Neodiprion lecontei: one gene and its partner. The protein of the gene in region 2 interacts with the protein of the main gene of each other region in a pairwise test. Links are inferred from orthologs where the notes say so. Each region holds a gene or a part of one and is shown on either strand. Other genes may lie near its edges.

The links.
Region 1: the proteins of 26S proteasome non-ATPase regulatory subunit 4 (region 2) and UV excision repair protein RAD23 homolog B interact in a two-hybrid assay, tested with the Caenorhabditis elegans proteins (3 studies listed by BioGRID). The link is inferred for Neodiprion lecontei from reciprocal best matches to the Caenorhabditis elegans genes rpn-10 and rad-23.

The regions. Positions count from the first base shown.
Region 1 is NC_060260.1:33,127,224-33,134,795, forward strand, and holds UV excision repair protein RAD23 homolog B, read right to left. Parts: upstream 5,567-7,572; 5' UTR 5,426-5,566; coding exon 5,360-5,425; intron 5,251-5,359; coding exon 5,178-5,250; intron 4,969-5,177; coding exon 4,809-4,968; intron 4,304-4,808; coding exon 4,133-4,303; intron 4,044-4,132; coding exon 3,724-4,043; intron 3,424-3,723; coding exon 3,116-3,423; 3' UTR 713-3,115; downstream 1-712. Other genes in the region: cell cycle control protein 50A, read left to right, coding at 6,052-6,103, 6,547-7,377.
Region 2 is NC_060262.1:20,521,570-20,526,437, forward strand, and holds 26S proteasome non-ATPase regulatory subunit 4, read right to left. Parts: upstream 2,583-4,868; 5' UTR 2,568-2,582; coding exon 2,512-2,567; intron 2,411-2,511; coding exon 2,270-2,410; intron 2,165-2,269; coding exon 2,053-2,164; intron 1,763-2,052; coding exon 1,388-1,762; intron 1,314-1,387; coding exon 1,031-1,313; intron 860-1,030; coding exon 669-859; 3' UTR 507-668; downstream 1-506. UniProt on the Caenorhabditis elegans protein: Binds and presumably selects ubiquitin-conjugates for destruction. Required for protein degradation and ubiquitin-proteasome system (UBS) function and regulates proteasomal subunit expression. Involvement in UBS might be cell type specific.

The DNA of each region.
Region 1 (7,572 bases), on a different chromosome or scaffold from region 2:
TCTTACATGACAAAAAGTGCAAAGCACAAATATTTCGTTCATTGGAAATATATTGCTCTATTACGTCTCGATTGTCATGTTATAAATTTTGTTGGCTATTAAATATAGAAAAATGTCTTTCTATAACTCCAAATGTACATTATGTGTATAGTATATTCTGCCATTATACATAAAAAAAAGAAATATTAGTTATATCGAAGTATTTTACTTCATAGTTATCCCAATGAAATGGTACCTACAGTAAATTATATTTATTGTTAAACATTGATTATATAGCTTGTTGATTGTATGACTATAGAGATAACGCTTAGTTACATGTAGTTTTTGCAAACCATAAAGGTATTTTACAGAAAAATGAGTTTATGTCACACAAAAATTGCCCACGATATCTTTCACAGAATTGTTTTCTACTCATCTTTGTTAGATTTGCTTTGTCCTTTTGAATTGAAAATTAAAATGACTGCCTATTTTTATATCTGATTGATACCTATTCATCAATTTTTCTGACATAAATATTATTCAAATGAACAGGTAATTATTTAATAGTGACGGTTAGTTATTTTTACTTCAATACGGTTTCATGTATTTTTCTTGTTTCAACTTCTAATGTGTTGTTAGTTTTGTTACGCTTTATGTGCCAGAACAATTAATCAATTCAAATATTTGGAACAATTTACAATGCGAATACTACCAGGTATTTTTCAGATTGGTAAACTGTTCATGCATTCAGTCCAACCGCACAGAACCATTTTACACTATCTAATATTCAAAAACCTCAATGTGAATCAAACTAACACAAAATAAATTCTGGAATTATTCAAAATACTCATATTTCGAATCTTCGATATTGCAGATTATTTGGTACACATTCAGCAAGTTTTGGCAATGTTAGACTTTTGTAAAATATGGAAAACAAAGGGTTGAATCAGGTAAATTTGAAACTCAATTATTTCCTGGTTTTATAATAATTTGCTCATCAGTCGTATCACGCACACTGCCAGTAAATACGCCTTTCATATGTAATATCAAATAATAATAAAATAAATAACTGCTTCATAATTTTCTAGAAGTATTAGGCACAGAATTGTTCATCTAATTTCCGTCCAATGCACTGCTCTTGCTAAGTTTCAATTTCTGCAGGAATTCAGAGCGTGTCTTATGTTTATACTTGTTAGACGTGTTACGTAAACTATTAATAATAAAATTAATAAAAATAAACAACGGTATGTGGATGAAAGTATATAAAGCACCAAACGTTTTTGAAAATCTTAACATATTTATTTATGCTATGTAAGTATTACAAGGTGTTTTGGGTGTGTCATAACAGAAGTATTCTTATCATTATCATGAATCAACTGCCATAATTTTTATGAAATTGGAGAAAGTATAATTTTTTTTGTAAGACAGTAATAATACGTACAAAACGATGAAGGTAAACGTGTAAAGTCAAGAAACTGCAGCCAATTGTCAACGTTTACGCACAATCCTGTACTGTATTTTTATCAAAAAACAAATTTGTAGTCCAATTTCTTTTCCATCCGCCCCATCATTATACCAAGACTTGCCGTAAAAAGGTCTCATAACTTCACATTAAAAATTTATTCGCAATTATTGTTTGGCCAATTGCAATGCAATATGCGGGCCATTTAATTTAATTAATAATTTTATTTCCATTTAAGCAAATGAGGCACCTCCAACTAATTTAGTAACCTTGTGATTTCTTTGTAGGCAATAGTTTAGTTGGTGTTGTGATTTTGTATGAAGAAAGTATTGCGTACTGTAATGGCTGCTAGTTGGTATTCATTTTTGAACCTTACATTTCAAAAAAGCTCCACTTCTTTCTCGTGAGTCTATACATGTGTGTATTTGCATATATGTATGTCTATGAATATAGACACACACACACCATATATTTTTATCGGGTTTTTCCTATACAAAAATGCAATTTCACCATCTCTTGGTATGAAAACTTAATTTTGTGACCGTCACAGAGTAACTTGACTTTAGAGACAACGGTGTATAAGAAGTTTTAAGAGAAACACCATAAGTGAAAAAATTTGTGGCCAAAGTGGATATTCGAATTTACAATTTCAGCTCAGTTTCTCCCTAGTAACATCTTATCACATTGTAGTGAATTGTGTTACCCATCCGTATTTAAGCCCACTAAGGTGTTCGACGATTCTGTGCCGATGTTTCGACAAGCTTCGTTGGACGATGAAAGTTTTGTGCGCAGGTATATTGCTACATCTCTAAGAAAATGCCCAATTGTATTATGGCGTCAATTGTATCTACAAATTAAAGGAGTATATTGAACTTTGTGCAACAGTTTGGCTAACTTTTTTATTAAACAAGATTAAACAAATTCTAGTTATCTTAAATTGTCACTCTTATCATCCGTCCTCGAAAAATGTTATTACTACATTTTTGGTTCGCAATTTATAGTATACAAAGCAAAAGAATTTCTATCGTTTGACTATGCATAAATAAAATTCAATTCTTTGACTGTGAATAACATTATACGAGAAAATTAAGTCTCGAATTACGAATTTTCTCTTTGCATTATTAAATTTAATCTGGACTGTTAGCTTTAGGAATTTGTTAGTTTTGGCTCTGTTATTAATATTCGTTTTTCAGAAGTGTTATGTATTATTATACAACCGATAATATAGACGTATCACATCAACGTCTATTTTAAGGTGTATTATCTTGTAAATTTTTAAAAGTTGTATTGCATTGTACACATAAAATATTATAACAGAGCCACCGAACTAACTAGTGAAAAAAGTAACTACTAAAAACATTTTCAATTTTTTTTCTTCTAAAGTAATGAAAGACTCAATATCGGTATGTAAGATTACTACTTGAATTGTTACTTTTCAAAATAAGAAATTTACATAATATACTTCCCTTATCTCTAGATGAAAGAGAAATATATTTATCAAAGGACGTTACATGAGAATGGCTGTTTTGTCTGCAACATCCAGAGAATTGTTAGCAACAAAGCCATTCATGGATTAGATGCATGATGAGATTAATTGACAACATAGCCATTGTGTTGATTCTTGTCTCTAGCATCTGTTAACTCTGTGACACACAGTCCCCTAAGTATGGGTTCTCAATCATCGAGATTTTGCGACAGCAAAAAGTTAGCCGCTAGGTTTTCATTTTTTTCACATGCAAAATAAGCCTGAACAACAAGATGTTCAGGGAATCCCAGTGCCTTCAGCCTTTCGATTGCTTCTTTGTCTTGTGGCGTCACCTGAATCACTCCAGCTCCAAGACTCGCACCTGCACCTGCGCCCACACCTGCCCCAGCACCAGCACCAATACCAGCAACGGCACCCGTACCACCTGTAAGTCCTCCTTGGGCCACGGCAGCCGCTGCTGCTGGCGTTCCTTGAACTGTTCCGCCGGTAGCACCAACTATTCAAATACAAAACATCGACTAAATTTTTATGTGTTCAAAATATAATTTCGATCTGCATAGTTTAGATAAGTTTAGATGAGAGCTACCAATAACGCGCAACGAAAATAACTACAAATGATCACTTCTGCGAGACTGAATCTGCCACTCCTTAGTTGATTTTGAGATTTTTAAAGTTTTTTGTATGGGATGAACCAAGTGATTGTATGCAAGAACGTCAACAAAACTCTACTTTTTCAATGCTCAAGGATAATTTTCCACCTTGATGGAAATAGAAATGACATAAGATTCAAAAGTACCAGGTTCGTTGAGCATGCGAACAAAGGCTTCTTGATTCTGTGAAATCAATTGCAGTAGGGCTGGATTGGTCTGTCCAATCTGTTGCAGTACAGTATTTAGTAATTGCGGATTTTGTTGAATCACTTGGCGCATTTGCTGAAACTGTGGTTGGGTGCGTAAGAATGCCAAGGGATCCTGAGCCTGGTCCTGGGCTTCAGGAGGGTCTTCAGGTGGGTCCTCAAACAGCTGAGCTGGAATACCAGTGAGTAAATATTCTACTGCTCTGTCAGGATTGTTGAAACTTGCCCTTAATGCTTGTTCAACCTGCTCTCGATCGTACCTGAACAATTTAAAATAAATCTGTGAGTTGTTTTTTTCACATTAGTTATATTTAAATGAAACTTGATTCCATATGTAGCTCCTACTGACCCCATATCCATAATATTATTGACCATTGTATTGTATTCTTCTCCCATCAACAAAGCACTTTCTGCCTGAGCTCCAGTAGGTGCCACTGCTGCAGGTGGGTCAAGCACAACTGGTGGTGGTCGGGGACGAACATCTTCTGCAGCCGTAGGAGTCGTAGTCAAGGTTGCTGGGCTAAACGTGTAAACGTGTATTGGTCAATTTCTATTCGACAAATTGTTAACTTACATATGTTAGTTAATCCTACACAGAATGAGTGGTTTTGAATTTTGTGCTGCACTTACTTGAACAATCGGAAACATTTAATTCAGTTAACTCAAATTTGAAAAGGGTGTTTCTTATTAGTCATAAAAAAAAGGTCCAAACAATCCTGTTATTTTGAGTAAACTGAATGCATAGAAATACTGATAAATTGCTCAACAGAATTTCACCAATTAAATTCTATTTTTCGCATGCTCTTTGAGTGTGTTGTCTCCTTTCCCCGTTACTCTCCAACTCCCAAACATCGACAAATGAAGAATAATTTTAATCGTAATGCAGAATTATCACACGTAGTATTACCCAATGTAAATATATGAAAAAATGATTAGAGAAAGTATTCTTTCATCAGAAAATATCTGTTGTAATGCTATGATTTACAAAATGTTTCTTATGTTTAAATTAGCACAGGCAATCATACCTAGCTGCTGTGTGTTCTTTGTTATTGTCACCATCAGCATGCTGTTCCTCACTAGTGCTTGGACCAGCGCCAGCCTTAGGTTTCGTTACCATAACCACGATAAACTTTTTTTCGTCAATATTATAGGTAGTTAAAGGCTGCTCGTCGGTCAATATTTTTCCTGCACACATAAGAAATGCATTTGGAATATTGCAGCATCAGTAACAGTTTATGTTCCAAAATAAAAATTTTAAAATAGCAATACAAAGATTTGGTGAGTCACGTATCGGAGGTTGCCAGAATATGGTAAAGTATGTATGTACAGACAATAAAAGCATGATGACATTAAGAATTGAAAAAAGATAGGTTATGGCAGAGAAATTGGCTTACCCGCGTATATGAGTTTTTGATGCTGAGCCGGAAAACCCTTCTGAACTTCGATCTTGTCTTTCAATTCTTTAACCTGAATAAGCAATAAGAACAAGTAACATTTTCATTAGCAACTAAGGGTTTTAGAATAGAAACCGAAAAAAAAAGACATTTTCGGCCACTTTAATGCAGTTTTTACTCACCGTTTTCGAGGGGTCAATCTCGACGGTAAACGTCTGTTGTTGAAGATTTTTAAGCGTAATAATCATTTTGGATCGTCAGCAGACACGCTTACGTTAATTACTACTACTTAAGGCAAAGTATCCTGTGTATCTCACGAAATAAAATTATGTTTTGATAGATATTTTCGCGCTGATGATTCGGCACTCGGAGCTCGTGAGCGCCATGAACCTTTTTCAACGACGTGATCCAAAGCGAATGAAAAGAGGAAATCGTGACCCGCTCGGCTCTCGTTGAACGCGCGCGTCTCGCAAGGGCTGAGAGAGTAAAAATATTTCATTCGTCACTTTAATTTTCTTTTTTATATCAAGTTCTGCCAATACTATCAGGAGTCCGTATTAAGTCATAAAACTCATCTTGAGATACAGGTACAACGCTTCAACTGCCTGCTGGTTGACAGAGAAATTATCACCGTTCCCTGGCAAACATCCTAATTACAAATACCTCACATTAGATGTATTAAGAAAGGTAAATGGTACATTAAAAATTCCTTGAATAAATTGCTGTGTTGACTAGTTCTCTGCACACACCTTGAGGTCAGTGATTGCGGCCTACGAACCTTACACAAACCGAGTGGATAAACATCAATCGCAAATGGCGGTAGTGAGGTCGTGAGAATTGTCAAAGTCTGAAAAAAATTAACGATTCTAAAGAAATGACGACCTTGACGGACCCCTCCGTCTTGCCAAAGACTAAAAAACCATCCGGTGAGTAAGATGTTGTATTTTTAAACCTGTTCAGGCAAACGTAAGATCAATATTGTCGAAGAATTTACTTGACATGACGCAGTAATCTGTCATTACATAATTCTCATGACACATTATTGATTTTATACATGAAATGTCCGTTGGTTTACTGTGTCCCTAACTCACTCTTATCATATTGCAATGATCCCCATAATCTATATTTTCACTATAGTACTACGTATTAGTAGTTGACTTCATACATTCATTGATTCGCAACATAACCTTACATTGCTCTTCATGTCATAATGCGTACACACGTGCTTTTTACACTGAACTGTAATAATACTGAAAGGTGTGCTGACGCTGACAACACGAGCCGAGGGAGACATTCGCCAGATACGGCAAAACCATTCATTAAATTTATTGCAAAATGAAATGACTCAAAATTTTTTTCTGGTTTTCAGATAGTGCATTCAAACAGCAACGGCTCCCTGCGTGGCAACCAATTCTTACAGCTGGAACAGTTCTTCCAACATTCTTTGTAATAGGAATAGCTTTCATACCAGTTGGCATAGGATTACTTTATTTTTCGGAGGAGGTCAAGGAACATTCCATCGATTACACTAATTGCATTTCCAATAGTTCAGCTTCTGGTAACGAAACAAAATGTGCCGACATAATTGCTTTGAATTCCTCAGCTGTGTGCTATTGTGAAATTAACTTCACATTGACAAACGAATTTGGTGGTAACGTTTATATGTACTATGGCCTGACCAATTTTTATCAGAATCATAGACGATATGTTAAATCTCGTGATGATAACCAGCTATTGGGCCAGTTAAGTCAGACACCATCCAGCGACTGTAAACCTTTTGCTTATTCTTACGTAAATAACACTGAAATGCCTATAGCCCCTTGTGGAGCAATAGCAAATTCGTTGTTCAGTGACGAGTTGACTCTTTGGTCCCATGTGCACCAGAATTTTGTTCCATTATTGAATTATGGCATAGCTTGGCCTTCTGATAAATCCATCAAGTTCGCAAATCCTAAAGGTTATGATACTTTGGAAGACGCTTTCAAGGACTATGCAAAACCAAAAAATTGGTCCAAAGCTATTTATGAATTGGATACAAAAAATATTAGCAACAACGGATTTCAAAATGAAGACCTAATTGTCTGGATGAGAACGGCAGCCCTTCCTAGTTTCAGGAAACTGTATCGCAGAATTGATCACTCTCAAGACAGTTTCAAGGGAGGATTAGTTCGTGGAAATTACAGCCTCATCGTTAAATACTGTAAGTAATGATAATAATTCAATAGCAGGACTAATACTCCGATACTCATCACCGCTATTGGTACTATTTTCTATCCTATCACATGGTCTGTAAAGAATCATTTACAAAGTGGTAATTCGATAGACCTGCTGAAAATAATATCAAGTACATAACAGGTTATGGCCACTCTGAATGCGTAATTTTGTTGATATATAG
Region 2 (4,868 bases):
ATTTAATAAAAACAATAATTCTATAATTAATTTCATAGAACAATGATAGTAAAATTTTCAAAATAGATCTTCTTGTGCTTAAAACCTTGTTCACATGGTTTTTACCAAATATTGCCGTTTTGAGTTAAGAAGATTATCCTGGTAACAATACGAATAAAATGAACCAACGTCTGAGAAATTTGACTAGTTTAAATTTACTCCGTATATTTGTGCAATATTTAGTTGCCCTATAACTGGTGATTGGCTACGTGCATAAAATCGATATTTATAAACTTGTTTATTGAAATCACGTGCTATTTAAGACTATAGGTAATGACAACACGCGATAGATGATTATAAATGTATCCCATTGTTTATGCTCAATTTTTTAAAACAAACATGAACTTATAATTCACTTGAGACTGGTACTGTTGTTATCATTATTGTTCTAATAACGATTCTTTAGTTTACTCAAACTTTTATTTTTTTACCAGCAATTCGAAAAAATAACGAAAAAGGTGATAATGTTATTTCCACAAAATCGATGATGTGTATTTCATTATCATATCGAAGCTTCCACAATAAACCATTACACAGTGGCTTAACGAGTATCAAATAATCTTAAATGAACTTTTCATTATAGTAGTTAGGTAAGTATTATTATATTTATTTCATCTAAGCAATATCCCTCATTTCTTCTCCTTATCTTGTTTATCCTTGTTTTGTTGCAAGGAACCGACTGCCTGACGAACTGCCTCCGACTGTGGATCGACTCCGGGTAAATTTTCAAGTACGGATTGCAAAAACGCTGGATCCGACATTACTGCTGCATAATCCTCTTCCACATCCATGGCCTCGTCCTTTCCTGTTTCAGGCTCCTCTGAAAATATTCGCATATTGAATAACATTTTCTTCTCAGTCATTCGTCACTTTGAATAACAAAATAAAACTTTAACAGTGCAAAATATTTCTCGCCGAATTCGAATGAACAAAATATGAAATGACTTGAAAAAGAACCGCGTAGTAAGCGCCCAAACAATGCAATGCTCACGTTGATCCTGCATCGACATTTGCATGGCAAAAGCAATCTGCTCCTCCTCACTCATGTGCGCGAAGTCGGGAACGTTTCCTGTAGTCGTTACAACGGCTTCTGCCGGTGAGCTTGTATCTTCGGCCCCTTCAAGGGACATGGCCAAGGCGCGTTTGAGCATCGCTTCCTCGTTAGGAGCCTCTTTGATGGTCTCTGGCTGCTTAGCAGGTGTGTCAGTCGCCTGAGCTCGCCGAGCCTCGTCCTCCTGCCTCTGTCGCTGCTCCTCCATAGATACACGAAGTGCCTGATACCAGAAAATAAGGTGGATAACGAATGAACTAAAAAAATCCATTTTTGATTGTAGCTTCTAACGCGTACCAACGCCAGTTCAGGATCTTCGTTGGGGTCCACACCAAATTCGAATGCTGCACCGCCCATCCCAGCTGCCCCCATTCCATCCTCTCCCTGGATTATTGGTGAGGATATCAAAGCGTCTGAGAGGTGGGGTCCAGGTGGAACGGTTACCAAGTGACTGCCAGTGCCGTCCTTGCCGTTCAAAGCATTTATGAACGAAGTCAAGACCTCGTTGTTGATTGTTTCTTCGCCAAAGCTTATTATGTCTACGTTCACTTTCTCTTTTTTTAAACGCTTGGCAAGCTTTACTAACTCCTTTTCATCCAACTGAATTGGACTTCCGACAAATGCGACTATTCGCATTTTATGGTTCTTTCCTTGGCGATGCTTCAGAGCCAGCTAAAATATGGTATATAAACTTGAGACCAAGAAATTGGGCTATTTTGTAAGTACAATAATTCAGTAAAATACTTTTTTTTCACAATGATTTTGTGAGAATTACTTTTGCAAATGGCTAGACTTGTGTGTTGGAATTGCGTTATATGCAAACTGCAGAAAATACTCTATTTAGGTTCTCAACTAGTGGAGCATTATCCTATTATTTTTTCATATCCATAAGATAAGAAAAAATATGGAATAAATCTATGTTTTTCAAGTGGCAAAAAACACAATCTGAAAGAATAGCTTACATGAGCAATTCTGATGCCAGTGATCAGACTCAAGTTTCCATTAGGCTGTACTTGATGAAGTTTGGATAGAATACGTCCCACATCGCTGGTCAGCGTGGCTAATACTTCAACACTAGACAAAAGCAAACCAAGAAATTTTGTAGCAAAGGCAGATAATCAATGGATGATGAGGAATAAAACAAGGATAAATATTTTTTCTGACTTGCACTTTACTTACTTAGCAAGAGTTATAAGTCCTACGTTGTTTTCAGGGTTGGATCGGGTCTTGGAATGGCATACTAAGTTGACGGCATCTTGTTGAGCCTGCAAGCGGGTCGGAAGAAAATCTCCATTTCTCATGTAGTCGCTGTTGTCGACACTGGAAAGAATATATCACCAATATTAAATATAAAATCAATAAGTCAAGTCGCAAATTTTTCGCAAACTGTGAAGTACTCTTGTATAAAAATGGAGAATGACCAGATAAAACTAAAGATGTGACAATGGGTTACAGCTGTATCGGGTTGTTGGGACATGATTCTTGAAATTTAATTAATCTAGGTTTTCATCCACTTCAAATAATGAAAATCCCTGAAAGTAGTTCAATGAATGCTAGCCAAATAAACTGCAGGAAAAGTGTGTATATCCTATTCTATTGTATTTACATATCATTTCATCTTGCTGATCGGTTGCTTTCTTACTTAATGTCACAGTTGTTTGTACAAAGTAAATAAAATTTGATTCACATCTACTCATCGCTGTTGAGATGAGATAAAAATAACGGATCAAGAAAAGTGTTGAAACCAATAGACGACTGTAAATTAGGCCAAAGTCACGCCTGGTCAAATTGTTCGTTTGAGAGAATAAGATAACCTAAAAAGGTAGATTGGTGAGGAAAAAAATGGATCAGTGGGATTTCCGAATAAATTGCAGCGCGGTTGATTGTAGGGTAAAAATTTGTAAGAATTTGCGTGAAGTCATAGAAGGGTGAATTGCAGAAGCCTTTTATATACGGCGACACGAAGCCGTTCAACTTTGCATTGTCACTCCGAAAAACACCGAACGAACAACGCGCCGCTCATCCGACTTATAAGCTCAATTTGAACATAATGCACATTTTCAAAACCGGTGTCCGACTAGTTTTCAAAGGTGTCAATCAAACCCCATCAGATATTTCGGTAGTTATCCTTAATTCGTTAATATTTGGCCGCTCACCATATCATCGTACTTTCAAGCACCATCTTGAATATACTGGTCCGTATTCCAACGTTCCCGTTGTCATACAGCGACCTGCATTACTTGCGCTAATATAAAATATAGGTATATTCAGTGATTGACACTGCTGTAGCATCCGACCTTAGAACATGTACGACTGGTAGCTACCCATGCCATCAACCTCGTGAAAACTGTGGCCGTAGTAATAAGAGAAGAAGATATGTATTCCCGGGCTACTCTGAATGTTCCGTCTCACTCACTCTGGATGTGATCGGCTGATTGTGAGAGGAAACGTATCGGCCTACCAGGTTGTAGAGCGAGAGAAACAAGTTGTATATGGCGTAAATGCTCTTACTCCATGAATCCTCATTTCATTCCTGCGCTACACTTTCCGCATACGCGAGGTTACCTCGGGTAATACATGCTTTCCTTTCTATTTCATAACCCTCGTTAACCACGCCTAACTTCAGTACGAGAATCTAGTGATAAACCGAAGGGTACTAGATAACGCCTACTCCAATCTAACTATACATCGCAAAATTCCAAATAGATTTCTGAGAGCCAAGCAGCATCAGTCGTTTCCGAGCGATCGGAGCGGAATCATGCGTTCTCAGCATCGGTTCAACATTTAGACCGCGTTGTTCAGGTTGTGTCACCTTGTTCGATCAGTGTATTTCCACCTTTCTCATCTGTGAATAATACACGAGGAGCAGCGTGTAGCCTGAATAAAAACCGAGTAACTGCAATAAAAATAACTCGCGAACGTCGAAGGTGCATTTCGTATCCGGAGTTTTCATTGTTTTGTGTGACTTCAGATTTCAGTGATGTGTATTTTGTCTCTGTGCAGCGCGTGTCAGTTTTATTATTTTTTTTTGGCTTCTTTTCGGCAAATGCGCAGTTGCATTGTTAGCACGATTATTCAGTCGGTTCAAACCATTATATGGTTCAAACAGACAGCAACAGCACAAAAAGTGAGTGTAGAATCTGTGAGTGTTATTGTGGTGTGGATTTTTAGACTATAAAAGACTAGTGAAGATCTGTATGATGTAAAAAGTGCGTCGCTTCACCAATAAACCTGAGATGCCACAAGAACTACTACGTGTAAAAGTGTGGAGCAGCCCAGATTCCAGGTAACAATACTTATTTTAATTATTGATTGATAATTCAAGGCGGTCATTTAGAGCCGAACTTTTGTTCTTGCATGACATGCGATGCATAAATATGAAAATAGACAGCAATTAATCTGAAAAGTAAAAAGCCTATTTGCTAAATTAATTCAAGTGTCGTGTTTTGTTTTTTTACAGATTTAAGCAGAGACTTCCAAGTAACTTTTCCATTTCTCGGCAACGTTGGTGAGTTTGCATGTGTTAGGTTATGGGTATTTCCCTGGGATTCCTTTGTCACGTGGCGTGGCGGTAACAATTGTTACACAAATCTTCGATTTTTTAGCTGCATGGATAGGCTCATTCACGATCGCAACGTGCTTGACTTTCAGTCGGATCATTTTTTTTTTCGCAATGCAATTAAACGTAGCTTACTTAAAGTTAGACGTTTTACACGTTGCTAAAAGTGGAATGAGCATCGCGACAGGTAACCATCGCTTACTCGGCACTCGCGAGATC